2 linked regions of the Oryzias latipes genome follow. The protein of the gene in region 2 purifies or fractionates together with the protein of the main gene of each other region. This does not show direct contact. Links are inferred from orthologs where the notes say so. Each region holds a gene or a part of one and is shown on either strand. Other genes may lie near its edges. The genes, in order: prpf6 and eapp.

Region 1 (3,041 bases), on a different chromosome or scaffold from region 2:
AGATAATTATCACCTAAAGAGCTCATCCACCTAAGGTTTGGTCTGTTTTTTTTTCCCCTCACCCCTTGGTTATACGCCTCTCTAGCCTTGTCCATGTTCTCACACTGCTCCTCAATCTGACCTCGCATCATCCAAAGCTTGGGGAAGTCCTCGTAATGTTTCAGCGCCTCCGTGCACAGATCCTGAGCAGCTTCTATGTTTCCCAACACCCACTCCAGCTTCACAGATTTCATGAAGACCTGAAATTTAAAAAAAGAAAAAGTTCAAATGTGTTTTTTACACAGCAAGCCTGGATGTGACCTTATTCAGAATTATACCGGCTGTCAGAGATTTCAAGTCTGGACTTTGTTACAAAGCCATAAAACAATAGTTTACACTTCTGCTACAGTCCCAACATACAAGATTACTACACTCTTCACTATACACAAAAAAACGACAACAATGGCTGCAATTAAGCTAATTTATATTAGTGCAAAATACTTCTGAGCTTTGTTATAAAAAAATAAAAATAAAAGCAGTCGGGAGTTTAAACTCACTTTACCAAATAAAGAACATAGGTCACTAAACATAAATTAATATACATTTTAGACTTAACAAGTACATTAAACATGAACAATTCAAAAACAATAAAACCTTTTACTCTTTTACCCAAAAAGGAATAAAATAAGGATTTCAGCATCTATAATCAGACGCGTATCTGAACCAACAGACCCTAAAATGTGTCCCATCAAATGTTTTTTTTTCTGTGATTGGCAACACAAGTACAGGATAAAATATTCAACTGGAAATTTTTCGAGTCTCTTCAGATGTTGATGTTACGTCTGGGCTGTTTTTTTATATTTTGGACTCTGATTTATCTTTTTTTCAGCCTTGAGAAGTGAGCCATTCAATGCCACTTTCTATCATTGTAGCCTGAAAAATCAACAGCTTCCTCAACAGTCTGACAGCAGGATCAGCACAGCCCACAGCAGAGTAGATTCTCTTAGGTTGGCATCTCTCAGCACACAATTGCGATATGAGGCGGGATTGGAGCACGATAAAGATCAACGGTGACAGGTGACAGGCTTTTCTGAAAGCACCTGTCAAAGTGAGTGGAGATGACTAACTGACACTGCTGGCCTCAACAGAATTAGTAAAGAAGACTGAGACAACCTTCTTTTAGATCATGATTGAACAACGGGTTTCTGACAGGAAACAACACAACATTATAGCCAAATCTGGCATGACTCTTGTCAGACAATCTTGTGAAAAATGTGGTTTATTATAACTATACTATGAGCTAATTTAATCATAAACTGTTCAATCATATTGGGAGGCAAATCAGAAAGTTAGGGAAGTCTCCATTTAAATGCTTGTATTAGGAGAAGTCTGGGAGAAAAAGTTTTAAAACTCCAATATCCTTATTAGGACTTCCATTTATTTTTCCAAAGTCTGAATTCAAACCTAATTCTATAGGTACAGCTTCAAAACTACTGATATTTTGGCCCCATTTTTAATGGCAGACATGACGTTTTTCCTCTTTAGAGCTAAACTTTGATTCCCAGGAGGACCAGCGCCTCCCAAAAGAATGGTTGTAACCACAACGGTCCTAATAAGGGAAGAGAAATGAGCATAAACAAACACAGGCGCTCACCCTGGCTGTTGGTGCACTGCTGCGAGCCTTGGCCAACAGTCGGCGGGCTCTCTCATACTCGTTGTTTTCAGACTCCAGTTTTACAGCAGCAAGCCAGATCTCTTCACTGTTTGGGTTGGCCTAAAAAGAAAACAATAACAAAGGACTGGTCTGCATTAAAAGCTAATTTATAATCATTATGATAATGTGTCCAGAGTTTGCAGGAGTTCATCGCCACCTGAAAGGCCAGAGCGAGGATGCTTCGAGCTGCTGGCACATCACCAGCCAGCCACTTGGACTTGGCACCCATCAGCCACAGGACCTCAGCTTTGGGACAGTGAGCTACGGCTCTCTGCAGCAGGGCCTCCAAAGACTCCCTGAGGCACACCATGAAAAGTTAGAAAACAAAAAGTGACAGAGATAGAATCGAATGCAATTAATGGAAATGAAGCAAGGAGAATAAGATAATAAAGCACGACTTCATGGATGATAAAATATGTTTGAAAAAAAAAAAGACTGACCTGGTCCCGTGGTTTTTCTCAAAGTAGGCAGCTCTGAGCCAGACACTTTTCTTACTGGGGAACACTTGAAGGGCATGGGCATAGATGGCTCTGGCACACTCCAGAGCTCCATGAGCCACACACTGGAGCACAAAAACCACAGGCCTTTAATTACTCCATTAAAAAAATAAAATCACATAATGTAATTGGCCAGATAATTGAGCAGTGCATTGTGCAGTGATCCGACTCGTCTTGTGCTCCAAATTCAACCAACTTACACTGTCAGCATCCTCCATCCATGTGTGTTTACGGTCCTCCTCTTCAATGCCAATGCCGATGACTGCCCTTATCACAGCCTGACAAGTGGCCACGCTGCCCGCTTTATCACACTCTTCAGCATCCTGCAGCACACATTCAGACGGAGGAACAACTGTGACTGATAAGGTGGCAGAAAATAATGTGAGAAATAAAAATTTGATACAGCAAAGAAATGCAGCTGAAAACAAACTTAGAACTGAGCAACAGGGAGTCTCAAACAGTAAAGAATGGAGGTAGAGGTGCCATGATATGTGGCATAACACTGTCACGTCGCCAACATGAATGGAAAAACACTAAAGAATATGTTTTATCTAACTGTAAATACATTCAGGCATGATTAAATAAATACAAAAAACTATTAACATTTATGAACAAAAACTACTGAAATAACGGTTTCTACTGGCAGCTTTTAAAAACATCAACAGAGAAACTGATGAGGAGCCTGGGATGTGTTGAACAACCCTGACAAAGGATTCATGACATGAACTCTGGATGTCTGAAATCTCCGGCGGCTCTTTAGCCTCAATAAATATTCCTGTTACTTTAACGATGCACAATCCACAGTGACATTCACCAAAATAAAGGTTTTTCACCATCCGATCACAACTGTG
Region 2 (4,494 bases):
GCGTCCACCCAGGCCTGGTCCCGGTCGTCCTCCTCCGGGTCGTACAGCAGCTCGTCGTTGCTGGGAATGAGGCGCCGCTTCCGCCTGCGAGCCGAAGAGCTGCCTGGAGACGCAAAGAGGGAGGTCAAAGGTCAAAGACCAGACAGGAGCAAAGACACGGCGTGAAGGTTCGTCTGTGGACAAACGCCTTTCTCTGTCATTTCATGACGTGCATTCAAACCCTGAGAATTATTCTATGTATGTACTAGAACAGAATTTCTGGCATGGTGGTACAACGGTCAACCGCTAACATTAATATTCCTAGTCCAATTCCCACTCCCAATTACGTTCACACCAGACGTGTCACACATTCTTGGACATGCGTTGTCATATGGTGTTCACAGTGGACGGGCGCCAACACGTCCACCACCTCCAGTTGGAGGAGGCTTGGGAGGAAAATTCAAAGCGGTGCAAATCTCCAGGCGTTTTCTTTCACGGCTCGATTCCGGTTTATGAAAGACTTGGTGTGTCATGTAGTTCTGGCAGGGCACAAACTGCACATTTTGAATTTCTCCTTCTTGATCACCTTTCAACCAGTTAGCCCATTTGGTGAATTAAAAAGGATGCTACGCATGCGTCACTACCAAATCTGACTCTCTGATTGGTCAAAGTTCAACTGGTTTAACTTTCAAAGTGCGTTCAGTGGGTGCAGGTTTTGTACAAAAACAGACATCAAGACTCGCGCAGAGATGCACGAACAAAAGAGTTTTGACCGAAGAAGCCGGAAATGCGCATTTACAAGCGTTTACATAGACTTGGACTCGTTGGAAGTAGTGGCGTAGACGCGGATTCCCGTGGGCGGTGTGAACCTAGCATGCCCGTGCTCACGCCGCGTCAGTGTGCGTCTTACCAGCTGTGTCCTCCTCCTCTGAATCAGAGTCAAAGTAAACGCTGTCGTACATCTGAGGGTTGGAGGAACCGACAACCTCGCTGCCTCCTCCAGTTTCTGCTGCAGGAGAGAGGAAACCTTCACATGCAATCCCTCCTGAAACCTTCGTCTGCAGTCAGATTAATACAGAAGCAGACCAACCCCTCCAGAGAACAGCTGATGAGCTGCCTTTGCAGAAAAACATTCAAAATTTACAAACTATTGGTTTGTTTTGGGACTTTTATTTAACACAAACTAATCATTCAATTTCTCCTGGAATTGTGGAGGATTTGAAGGTTCTGGTGGATGAGAGGTTGTGGACTCCGGCTGGTTTGACTTGACTTTCTACTATAGCAAGTACATTGTATTAAAAGAGCATTTTTCTATTTTAAATTGAACAGTATTTCTAAAATATATCTTTTTTCTAATGTTTGTATGATTTATTAATTAAAACAAAGTAAAGAAGCCAAACATGAGTGGTATCAGGTCAAAACTATTGTTTTTGAGTTTTGCATGAAACCTGTCTGGATCTACAAATCCTCCCATGCTGGTCACTGATCTGACTGTTCATTACAGCTCAGACCTTAAAGTCTGCAGCTTCTAAAGAGAAGAACAGCTTTTAAAGCTGCACTGAATGGAGGAATGGAAACATCAGAAGACCTGTGGGGTGTTCCAGGAAGCATGTTTAAACTAGCCTGACTTTAACCCTGAACTCTGGCTGAAATCCGCCTGAAATCGCTTACTCTGGGTATGTCGGTTCCAAAAGACCGGGTATGAGTTGGCGTAATTGCGCTCGACTTGGTAACCCTGGGTTAATGCTCGTGCACAGCAGGTACATAAAGACATTCTCAATAGATCGCCGATTTACGGAGTAACCATGGAAACGCGTGGAGAACAATGGTGGAAAAAGTATTATCTGAGCTTCTTCATCCACTAAATCATCTTCAAATGGACACGCCATGCTGCTTCACCTCTCTGAAAACAAACTAAGCTTCAACTAAACCTGCTCCAGACCAGGTTATGTTCAGAGCATGAGTTACTATGGCAACTTGACCTACCCTGAAGCATACCTCCATTTCTAAAACAGAAAGCTGAGGGTATCAACTTCCTTAGCCTCAAACTTACCGTGGTAACTAGCATAACCTGCTTTCTGGAATACCCCCCAGATCAGGCTCTAGAAGCAGAATGAGATGGTTTTGAAAGGAGAGACGGACAGTTATGCTGCTGCTGCTGCTGCTGATGATGATGCTGGGAGGCGGCTGAGGTTGGGGCTGGTGGCTCCAATGTGGTAAAGTGGTTCAAAACAACAAGCAGCTCTCTTTTGTACAAAAGCTTGGTGTTTCTGTGTTTGGAAGGGCCCTGTGTGTGTCTGTGCGTGTTACGGGTTACCGGCTGCAGGGGCCCAGCTTCCTTCCATGGTCCTGAGGGTGGAGCTCAGCTCTGCCTCCATCTCCTTCTCAAACTCATCCCCGCTGGAGGACTCGCTCTCCCCGGTCAGGTACTCCCGGATCAGCTTCTTCTTCTGGTCCGGCGTCCCGTTCAGCAGCACGTCCAGCTCGTCCTCGGAGCTGAAGACAGGCGTTTCTGTTCAAAACTGGACTTTTGGAAACCTTCATCATGATGACGATCATGAAGCAAAGCAAAACACAGCGCCAAAATGCGACATATTGCGTCTCTTTTATCATGGTCTAAAACCTGATTCAAACTTTAAAATTAAACGTCTAGGAACTGGTTTATCCTGCATATATTCTACCTTTAAAATCAAAAACATCATTAAAAACCAAATCATAAACATGTAATGTTTTTATCCGTTTTTGTTGCTTTCAGCTGTTGTTAGCCTCGTGCTGCTAGCATGAAGCTAACCGTCTGTTTACATCATACCTGCTCGAAGCGCGTTCTTCGTCGCTTGGCTCATCGATTTCATAAGCCTCACTTTCCACCGGTCCGTTAAACTTGCTCATTTTAACAATTTTAAACTTTCTCAGAAGACAAAACAACGGGAAAGATTTATCCCGAAACTGGTCTACACTCTGTCCAGTCTGACGTATGTCTTCTTCTTCGGCATCGGTTCTTCTTCTATGGTGGTAAAAGCACTTGGAAAACTCGTTACCGCCCTCTTGTGGAGAAACATTTTAAAATCATTTTTACTTCAACTATCTAAAAGGAAATTCATTTCAGAACTAAAAAATAAAAGTAGGTGGAATATAAAACAAAAGAAACAAATAAAAATAAATTTATTTATTGCTAAAGCCACAATTTAATAGTAAAATCGGTCAGGTTAAAATGCTGAAGCTAAATTTAAAAGATTAGAAAAGTAAAATTAATAAAAAAGAAGAAATTAATTATTGTTTGGATTTAACAGTAGGTATAACATGAAAATAATTAAGAAAATTTTCAAACATTATATATTTTTATGTATCCCCAAAATATAATGATAACTATAGACTTCAAAAAGCATTAAATAAAAAGTTTTTCAAGATTAGTTTAAGGATAACCCATGCAACTTGAAAAGGACAATAGAGGTGAAAAGATTATTCAGCCATAAGCGCTCATCCTGGCAGCTCAGGAACAAGCCCTGAGTACCAGAGCAATAGAGGCTCAGATCTACCACACCAGACAAGACCCAAGGTGTAGGCTGTGCAAAGAGGCGCCTGAAACAATCCAGCACATAACTGCAGGGTGTAAGATACTGGCAGGGAAAGCATACATGGAGCGCCACAATCAAGTGGCTGGAATAATATACAGGAACATGTGTGCAGAATATGAACTGGAAACCATAAAGTCAAAATGGGAAACACCTCTGAAGTGGTAGAGAATGAGAGGGCAAAGATCCTGTTGGACCTCCAGTGTTATGGCTGTGGCCGTATTCGGTTTTGTTCTTTTTGTTCTGTCTTTTTTGTATCATAGTGGGACTTCTGTGTTTTGTGGGTTTTTGTGTGTCTGTCTGATTACTTTGGTGCTGGAAAGGGTGTGGCTTCCTTTTGGACCCAAGCTGATGGAGGCAGCCTTTACAAGCAGCATGTGGACCCCCAGCCTGCCAGAAGGGAGCTTTGCTGCAACCTGTCTCCACGGAGGTTATTGTTTTGTCACAGGTAAGATTTCAGATCTCAGTCAGGTGGGGTTTTGTTTGTTATTTTGGGTTTGGTTCACCCTGAAGCCTTTTTGCTTCACCTTTTAGTTATTGTCGATCGGTATTTATTAATTTGTAAATAAATGTTATTTTTTATGGAGACACTCTTTTGGTGTTTTTGGTGTTAATTTAAAGTCAGGGCAAAAAGACTTTACTGTTATGTTGTGCTCCTCTAGGTCCCCCTAGATATCAAATGGGGCAAAACATCCAGATCCAGACTGATGCAGTGATCGCTCCTCTAACTTTACCTCGCCTGAGGAAATCTATTTGATCACCTTTCATAATTAAAGTTATGAACATACATCCACCCAGTGACTTTTCCAGCATCGTAGCAGAAATGTGCGACATCAAAGGTTTGACTGAGGAAAATCTGCAGCAAATCACCGTTTCAGGCTCACATGTTGAAGACATCTCTGTGAGTCTGCAAAAAATGGAAGATTTGAAGGCTGCTCAAAAA

Evidence for each region.
Region 1: the proteins of eapp (region 2) and prpf6 purify together in Homo sapiens (affinity purification with mass spectrometry; 3 studies listed by BioGRID and IntAct, with this or other methods). This does not show direct contact. The link is inferred for Oryzias latipes from reciprocal best matches to the Homo sapiens genes EAPP and PRPF6.

What each region holds. Positions count from the first base shown.
Region 1 is NC_019865.2:15,457,740-15,460,780, forward strand, and holds part of prpf6 (pre-mRNA-processing factor 6), read right to left. Parts: intron 2,514-3,041; coding exon 2,391-2,513; intron 2,256-2,390; coding exon 2,134-2,255; intron 1,990-2,133; coding exon 1,851-1,989; intron 1,754-1,850; coding exon 1,634-1,753; intron 240-1,633; coding exon 63-239; intron 1-62. UniProt on the Homo sapiens protein: Involved in pre-mRNA splicing as component of the U4/U6-U5 tri-snRNP complex, one of the building blocks of the spliceosome.
Region 2 is NC_019880.2:24,339,220-24,343,713, reverse strand, and holds the start of eapp (E2F-associated phosphoprotein), read right to left. Parts: upstream 2,999-4,494; 5' UTR 2,869-2,998; coding exon 2,789-2,868; intron 2,476-2,788; coding exon 2,297-2,475; intron 989-2,296; coding exon 890-988; intron 104-889; coding exon 1-103. UniProt on the Homo sapiens protein: May play an important role in the fine-tuning of both major E2F1 activities, the regulation of the cell-cycle and the induction of apoptosis. Promotes S-phase entry, and inhibits p14(ARP) expression.